Linked DNA regions of Drosophila melanogaster. The protein of the gene in region 2 interacts with the protein of the main gene of each other region in a pairwise test. Each region holds a gene or a part of one and is shown on either strand. Other genes may lie near its edges.

Region 1 (4,846 bases), 4.4 Mb from region 2:
TTAATTTGAATGTCGTGGAATCCCTGGAAATCTGAAAGCGGACACCTAACTCTATTGGGCTGTTAATCAAATTGAATTGTTCGAGCTGCCGTGGCTGCAAGCGTTGTTCGCCTAATTAGTTTGTAATCAAAGTCAGCTTACGATTGACTTGTTGATGGATTCGATTCAACTCGCAGGGCAGTTCCAAAGCCCTAAGTCCTAAGTGCACTTCGGGAACTCTGCAGGTGAAGTGTGCCCCAGCTCGAGGAGCACCCAGCTCAACTTGGAGCATGGTGCCATCGCAATCGCAAAAAGCACAAACAGTGCGCCTGTTTCTCGCGGCTAACACCGAAATCATCTGCTCCGGCGTCTGTGTTTATACAATGTAATCGAATGGGAATGGGATTGAGACTGTGACTGGGGATTGGGGATTGGGGATTGGGGATTGAGGACTGGGAAGACGTGTGCCATGCAACCTGTTGTGGGCCAGCCCCCGTTCCGGGTAATTCGAACGGCTTTCTGGCCGCTGGTCGGGATTAGTAAGCGCTGCTGCTGCCAAACGGTCGAGACAATCGCTGCTATCCGCCAGATACTATTTTTAACATTTTCCGTTTAATTGCCGCGTGAGGGAGCTACGCACAAAGAAATCGAATAGAGCGCGGCGCAATGAATGAAATTTGTCAATTTAATGGGTTGCACACACATGTGTCTCTGCCTCCGCAGCCGAATGTATCTGCATCTGCATGTCGGCTGCTTTTCGCCTTGCTGCGCCGCATTTGCCAAACTTTGAATGAAACTGAAGTGCACTGGTCGAAAGTCCCGCCGGTGGGGAGCTCGTCCCCAAATTACGACGGATTCTGCACGCCGGTGCGTAAAATGATCAAAGCTGCTGCGGCCAAACTTGCGTATCTGTATCTGTTTCTGCCCGAGTCCCGAATCTAGGCGAATGGAATGCGCAAATTTGTCAATTTGGCCACTTCCGAGATGGAATCCACATGGCTGGTATCTTGATGATCCGAAATAGGCAACCAGAACCGTACGCAACATCTGCTCCCATCTCTGCACTCAATTAATCATTCGACTTCTGACGACAAACACGCGTTGGCCAATTCGTTTAAACGCTCCCAATCCCCCGAATATCGCAAATATCGAATTTAGCCGGACAAAAGTGGGTCCACGCCCACTCATCCTCACACGAAGTACAAAAGTTGTCGGCCAAACAGTCGCTATAGTTAATAATTTCATAAATTTTGTGGCGAGAAACGAAATGATAAAGCCAAATGGTTTCATAAATAAACACTGTGTGCGTTGGTTTCGAGCACCAAACGGTTGGAAAGCCTTTGCGATGAATGAATGACAACTGGAAACTACTTTTCCTTTGGATCAAATCCATCTCATATCTTTTCCTCTAATTAATAAATACATCTGAGGTGGGTGGGCCGTTGAGTAGCCAACTTGGAAACGTGGAAAACTTAGAAAAAAATTGAGCGGTGAATAAAACAACAGAATTTTTCTTTTGGTGTGTAAACAAGTTTCCTTTCCAAATATAAGTGAACATGCAATTCCCGTGCTTTTGCCTTCGTTTCGATTCCCTCAGAATTGCTTCTCAAGTGCCTCGAGTTGGTTTTCCGATGGCTTTTGGCCATTTGGAATTCGCCAATGCCACGCCGCCAAAAAGCGAAGTGCACTTTGGCTCTCAGCTCTCCTCATTGAAATCGGCAAAACGTTGTGAATCTATGGACTTCGATGATAGATTGATCCATTAGAAAGCGGATAGAGATACGCCGTGACATTTATGGACTGCATTAATGTTTTCGCTGCACACGCTTTAAAGGCTATTTAAAGCACTAAAATATATTTTTAAATGAAGTCTTCAAATAGGCAAAGTGATTGATACTTTCTCAGAGAACTTTAGGCTTTTCTAATCAAGAATAACGCTTTGCTGTAAGTTCCATTTTAACCGTATGGGATGTTTAATAAAAGGTCTATGTTCTATGATCTTATCTATAGGTGATAAGTGATTTCTTGAACATGTGGTTAGTTCTTCTAAGGCTTAGTTTGACCTATTGAAATTATTATTTTTCTGAAACTTTTGTATATATTTATGGTTTTATAATTTTAAGGTTCCAATATGGAAATGTATAATCTAATATTAGCTATATTTATTCACATAATCGTCCCGAAATTTATCATAGTTATTATATCTCCTTTTTCAAGTATCAATGCCAATTTTATTTTAAATTAATCCCCCATATACCATTCGTTTTTCTTATTGTGAAAGAATATCCGTCCTACTTATGCATCTACATATATTTTTGCCATGGTTTCTAGTGTTCCACAGTAAACTTTTGCCGTCGGCAGCATGAAAACTGAATCTCGCTGCTCACCTGTATTTTGATTATTTATTGTTGATACGTATCCGAGTTTGTTAGTTTTTGTTTGTTACTCTTTGTTTGGGTTTGTGCCTTTTGCCTTGGCTTTCCGATTCGACTTGTGCTATATCCGCAAATGTTAGAGTTGGCCAAGAAGGCGCTGATTTCGGCTGTGCGGCATTTCCTTGATTTGCATTTTGGCCAAACTCTTCAAATCGAAGCCATGTGCCGTTCGCGCACGCACACACTCTTAGTCGCGATCACACTGGGCACTAACTAACACAAGCTTGCCGTTGAATATTGCTCATACGCACTGTGCGAACACGTGTTGCAAATTACTTTTCGCGAAAACTTCGCTGTCCTGCGCGACTCGGACAAATTGCACCTGCAAATTTGGTGGGCAAAGCTGCGACGACAGCACTGAGGCAGTGCCAACAAAAAATGGCCGCCCGCGGATTGATTAGCTCAATTTTGCTCGCTTTTCTCTCGCTTCGTGTGCGTTTATGTGGCGCGATACTGATGCGTTCATTCAGGAAACACGCAAATTAAATATAACTTTGTGCGCGGGACGTCAAAAGACCGCCGGATCCGGCCTGGATTACTAAGCGAGCGACGTGGGTAGAACGGGCAGCGAACCGCACGCGACGGAATCTCGAAAACAACTGAGAACTCTCCGGTTCTCAAACCTAATCGAACCGAAAACGGCCGAGACAAAAGGCAGAAAATGGTTGGTGCCGCTGGCGGTGTGCGTGCGCCAGAGCGAGATGGCCGACTGGTCGTGCGAGTGTGTGAGTGAGCGAACACCAAGGGGGTGAACTGCACAGTGGGATGCACCGACACTTTGTGCGTCACTTTCCAAAAACGTTATAGGAAAATAATGGAATCAAGTGAAGCGAGACTTACATTCACTGACTTTTATAAAGTCACTGGGCACACACAGTTCATGATTACACATATATGAACTGATGATAACTCAGAATTCACTACGTTTTAGTTGTTTTCAATATCTTGCCTTTACAAGTGTTTTTATTTTTATTCTATTTTATTTTATTGTATTCTAATGTTTTCGTAGTAAGACATAGTACATTTTTCCGTTATTATATGCTATTGTATCTTCAAAACATTAGAAAATGGTTTTATATATTTTTAAAGTGGCTTACAATTAAGTTAAGTTAAGTTAAGTTAATTGGACAAATATTTTTATAAACGTGTAGCCATTGAATTTGACACACGGTGCCAATCGACAACAGTTTGACAGCCACTGCGAGAGGGGCAGCGTGCGAAAGAGCGAGAGAGCGCATAAACAGGTTGACCGAAAGAACGCCCCCTCGGCTTACCTGTTCGCACACACACACACACACACACACACACATAGATGCCCTCACGCACACCGGCGCACTGGAGGACAGCAACGTGCTGATTGGTCAGCGGAAACGCATGCCAGCAAAAAGGCATGCGCATTGGGCGCCATATTGAAAGGCGGAAATCGGAGGTGATTGCAACTGCATCGCTGCTCCTCCCCAGGAACTCCTCATCCTGGCTGAAAGGATGCCCGGTGCAATAGCTGCCATCCTACAATGCCGTTTGAATTACTCACCGCAATAGTTCCATGCATCTCTCGTATAATTGCAATTACTGGCCTTTTCTCATATTCATTCACTCCACTTTTTTGGTTTAACTCAACCTTGTGGTCCTTCCACATTAGTGCGGTTTGCATTGTATTATTTAATGATTCCGAAGGAGATGAAGCCGTTTGGTAATTGAAGCCAACTAATTGTGTTAATGATTTACTAATATATTTAGTTTACTAAATATTTACTATATACACAGGCTCCTTTCGTCTTCAAGTCCTTGTTCATGATAACTGAAATAACTTGAACCTAATTTAATTTCAAACTATTAACATGATCTAGAGACACCTGTACAAAGTGCAGCGATGCGTTCAGAATGCCTAACTTTCTTTTTGAATACAAATAGTCAACTTAAATCACAGAGTACTACACTGCTTAGTGAATTTTGTAGATGGTAATTAATGTAATTAATGTAAATTAATGTAATTAATGTAATGTAACGCTAAATGTATAGAAATTAGTCAAAGTACCTGTTGTTGGAGGAACCGCTTAGACAAATGGTATTATTTTCAGCACTTCTTTATTAAAATTCTGTCCCATTTATCGGTAGCTCGATCTCAGCGTGTGCCGTGAAAATCGCATCGAGGACCACCCAAAATGCAAATTCGGAAACGGAGCTGGGAAACTCGATCGAAATCCAACAAAGATGATGGACTAATGGGGCGCCAGGCCGGTGCACCTAATCAAGATCGGCAACTGCCCACACAGATCAGATGCCAAGTGAAGATCCATACCGCTGGCGATTTCAGTATCGTTTACAGCGATCGATAAGGTTTTGGCGCCAGGCCTCGACAGTCACCGATAGCCAAAATAAGTGTTAAAAAAATTAGGAAATCGTAAAATTTACATAATAACAGATCATAT
Region 2 (4,889 bases):
TAGTTGAATTATTATTATTAGTTATTCTTTTAGTTTTCAAGTTATTCTGTCATTTTAAAAATTATTTGTAATTAGTCAAGAAAAATCATAACAAAAACAGCTGATGATAGTCAGATGTTAGAATTATAGAGAAGGACCGATTATTATTAAGCTTATACTGAACAATCGATATATTGATAGGCTTATACAAATGCGCTAAAATTTAAAATTCGAAAATTTAATAAAAATAAATAATAATTTATATACGTATAATCGAAGACTTTTTTATAGTGTCTGAACTTAATTTGTATATTCTTAAAAATAACTTTACCTTTCATTATTATAGTTTACTAACTTTCAATTAGTTTAATTGGTTTTCCTACATGAAATTAATGTTGTTTGTAGTACAATTCACCTGTTATTAAAGTGATCAATTATTATAGGGCAAAGGAAAACAATTTGTAGCGAAAGCCAACAGCAATTTATGTTAAAATCTCATTTCATCAACCGCCACTAATGAGTCAGTCGCAGAAATAAACTAAATTGTTGTAATGTCCTAACAAACTTATGTTTTTGCGCATTGATGCGGCGTGGGAACGAACGAAGTGACATCCAACACTAAATTTATCTGGCTCGTGTTCAAATCAAATTAAATTCTCGGCATTAAATGCCACATTTATCTACATGAGCACATTGTTTGATTGGCACGCCAGCTGCTCTGCCCCTGTTTCTTCTCTGATTGTGATGTTCTACTTAAACGATTCAATTGTTTCTTCGACCATTCCGTTTATTTACCATCAGGTACCAGACTCGCCAAGGGATTGGTACTATCTCCTGATAGTTGGTACTTGGCGTCGGCTAGTGGTAAGTTCTCCCCCAAGTACCGGGTTTCTTGATAGAATTGCCAACTGTTTTCCAAGCCAAGTGCCATGGTCACGTCTAGTGACCAATAACTCTGCTGGCCAGCAGTTGGGCCCTATGGAGAATGTGAATCAACCAGGTTAGATATTATATCTAATATATATTTCAGTGTTATTAGAAGTAGAGTCAAACCGTCTGTTTTTACGCGGAGAATATTTATATAAAAAAAACCATAAAAACTTAAAAAGATATTGTAAGTTAGAAATATTTTTAAAGTATCTTTAAGTTTACAATATATCTTAAAGTTTAAAGTTTACACTTTAAATTAGGTGGAAATATCCTACAAATTATACTTTACGTATTTCATATACTTTGAAATTTATTTAAGTTTAATTTTGGCATAGAATTTAGCCAATCGGATGATCAATATCGATTTAATTTATCCTCGGCACGCCATTTTCGACCTTTCTGGCTGTCAAAATGCATTTTCTCCTCGCGTTACTTAAGATGCTCCCCATTAATTTCCCACAGCCGTTTCTCTGATCTCTGACCAAGTGCGTTTGTCTCCGCCGGCGCACAAGTATTTTGTGCAAATTAAACAAAAATTGAACATAACATAAATATCCGATGCAGAACAAAACGAAGGCAGGTGAAGCGGTGAGATTTATTTTTAACTGCCCAATGCGCCTACATATAGCAAATTATGCAAAAGAATCTCGCGCTGCAGCCGAGTGCAATTTCGTTTTCGTTTTCATCTGCCAGAGATGCCAGCGTCTGCGCCGCTCTCTTGAGTCATTGCACTGCGAGAAAATACGCGTAAGTTATTGAAACTTTTTTGGGTAAGGAAAGATCATCAATTTGATATTGCATTTTTTTTAAAGTATATTTGTTAATTGAAAATAAGATAAATATGACACGCTGTTTAATTAAACTTTTCTTAAACCATCAAATCATATTAAAAAACCGTATGAATTCTGAAATTATCACTGCAAAATGAATAAATATTCTACTTCAAATTTTGCTAGCCTGTACAAACTTAGAAAAAACTCGTAGCAGATCTACGGTTATCTAAGTTATTGAAAGTATATAATTTTTCGCTGTGCGGCTGATGTTTTGGTCCCATTGGGGGTGGGCGCTACGTCATCACATCAGACCCACAGCTGCGCCACAACGATGACGAAGGAACGAAGGCAACAACACCGAGCCAGCGAGGCAGCGACTCAGCAGCAGAGAAGCAGCAAAAGCAGCAAAAGCAGCAGAGAAGCAGCAAAAGCAAGTAAAATCCACATGCCACCGGACGGCTGGCTCAAATGTTCATGAAACGCGAACGCGTGTGGACGTGGATGTGCGCGGTACCGCTTCGAAAAAAAAATTTGTGAACGCGAATCGGTATATTCGGTTTGGTCGGATTAAACGGTTGATTCGAAACGAATTCTCGGGCCGTGCATGTGTGAAAGTGAAAACTGAAGAAAGAGGAATGAAAATGAGCACGGTGCATGAGTTTCCTTGACGTTCGTTGCTTCGGAAAATCCATCGCAAGAAAACTGAAAAGAGCGTGCGAAAGCAGAAAGGCCAATTGTGAGTGAGAGCTGAAAAGCACACACGCCAAAAATATAATGTTGAAAATATCTGGCTATTTTTGGAATATATATTTGTTTCTTCCACACGATGCATTGAAAAATTTGTACCTCAAGTGAAGCAATACACAAAAAACCTCGAGAAATGATAATGCTTAAAAAATACGAGATATACGCTTTAACTTGACTTGCATTTTATTTTCGAAAAGCTTTCGAAAGCAAAACAAAGCCATCAGAAAAATAAGAGTACGAAAAAAAGAAGAACGAAATGAATCCAAGGCAAAAGAACAGCCAGAGTGAAATGTTTTTAATGGGCAATCAAAAATAATGAAATCGGGTAGATATATCTGGCAGAACGAGGCAAGAACGCATTTAAGATGAACAATGGAGATACATTTAATGAAATTTAAGGGACTCAATGAGGGATTGAATTCAGATCTATAGCTAAAACATTTCCGGAAATACCCATTGCTCAACTTTGGATACACAAAATATTCCCTTCAGATTCGGAATAGTTTCCTTCTAGGTGCACAGCTGAAAATGAAATATAGTTCTGTTTACATTCTTAAACTAAACTTTAAAGCTATGCAAACTCGTAATGGAAATGTGCTTTGAAATCCCGCCGCTTGAAACCACATCAATATAGCGATATATTTTTTTCTGTGTAACTACATTTTCGTCTTTTCTGTCTGATTTCCTCCGAAAGAACAACAAATACAGGCCACACTATGCATATATCCGCTGTGTTCTTGTTGTGCTGCCTTTATATTTTGTATTTGAATTTGTAGTCTTGTGTCATGCGATAGGTGGTAACGTTTCGTTCCGAACGGGGTATTGAATTACAAGACACCAAAGTGCGCGCCAAGCGAACACGCTCGCTCACAGATACTCACACACACGCACACACACGATAAACACACATGCAGAGCGAGGTGTATAAATATATCGCAGTCCGATTCTGCCGCATGCGTATCCAATGGATGCGAATCGGCCTGCAAAGCGGAGGGCACAAGGAAATATCCGAAAAAGAACTATGAATCGCTGTAATTAATTGTTTTGGGGGCAGAGCAGTTGGATCCATTGATTGATGGAGCCAAAGTTCATTTGTTTACAGTGGCAAGATCAATGACTCGGCGCCCTATTAATATGTACATCCCCCTCAAAAAAAAAAAAAGAAAACCAAAAAAGTATCTGGCTGGCTCCACTCTGACCCCTGGTCTCTCTTGTGTTCCAGTTTCACCCGAAAGTTATATACCGCATCCAGTTGAAATGTCCGCCAAGACGTCGCCATCGTCCACTTCTCGGGATGCCAACGTGGGATCCTCGAGTGCGATTCCCGTTCAGATCAAAAAAGAACTGCCCAGCGATGAGATAAAGGTGAGTGAATGTATGAATGAACACTTTGAGATACTTTCTTGCCGTCTAATTAATTGCCCCTGTCTGCGCATTATTTCGCCGCGTATTCAATAACAAGGATGCTGACAAAGTTTGCGTTGGATTTAAAAATAAGAACGTTCTTCTTTGCTCTTGGCAAAACATTTGGCTTCTATAGCTGCGAGCTGCATATACGCAGAATAATTATTATTTGTTTGTTTCCGAGTGTTTGGATGGGGGAAAGGTGAATAACACCCACTCGCCAGTTGCGCGTCTATATCTTGGAGTCTATATCTTAGAGTGGCTTTGAAGTGGATCTCGTATCTCGTAGTTGCCATGGAAATATCTATAAAAATGTGTGCTCATGATATACGTAACTACCTTTGCCGCAGAACACATATTTCCATTTCATCCTTAGCGAACGCAAAAATATTTAGTAAACTGCATGTTGCTCATACATAGTTTCCACTTACAAGCTCGAATCCAGCGATTCCAGCCAAAGAGCACTTCCAACTAAGCGCTGAAATCAAAGAATCCGACTCCAAATCCCTCGGCCAGAGAACCAAAAATCGTTTCGGCTTTCAGTTCAGCGCAGTTCAGTGCAGTTCAGTTCGTCTCAGTTGACTGTTGGGCTATTTGGAAATGTTTATGCAAGAGCCAATGATAATGCAACGCCCCGCTACCGCCCCCGCTCAAAAGTGCTACATTAAATTCCATGCAACTTTGTATCTGAATCCGCGTCCGGAATTTGAAAGAGGAGTTGCTAGCGGTCGCTGCAGCTGAGGAGACTCGGATTCAGATTCAGATTCGGATTCGGATTCCGATTGCCATTGTGATTACGCGATTACGGGACGAGCTCGTAAGTCGAGCGGGAGTTGGCGGTAATTTTATATTGATAAGTTTTTATAATCATTTTAACGAGTGAGCGGGTCCGATTCCGATTCGGAATCCATCCGCTCCTCTCTGTCCGCAGTCCCTTACGCTTCTGCTCCATCCGGCAAATGAGCGAAATTAATTTAATGCCACAGACAGGGACAGAGAGTCGCAGAGCAACATTTTTGCAGCACGTGTAACCCGATCGGCGAATGGAAATCATAC

The links. The genes of interacting proteins can lie anywhere in the genome.
Region 1: the proteins of Sobp (region 2) and so interact in a two-hybrid assay, tested with the Drosophila melanogaster proteins (2 studies listed by BioGRID).

What each region holds. Positions count from the first base shown.
Region 1 is NT_033778.4:7,417,519-7,422,364, reverse strand, and holds the start of so (sine oculis), read right to left. Parts: upstream 3,016-4,846; 5' UTR 2,367-3,015; intron 1-2,366. UniProt on the Drosophila melanogaster protein: Required for visual system development. May transcriptionally regulate genes necessary for optic lobe invagination and Bolwig's nerve formation.
Region 2 is NT_033778.4:11,836,801-11,841,689, reverse strand, and holds the start of Sobp (sine oculis-binding protein), read left to right. Parts: upstream 1-1,864; 5' UTR 1,865-2,336; coding exon 2,337-2,418; intron 2,419-3,651; coding exon 3,652-3,794; intron 3,795-4,889.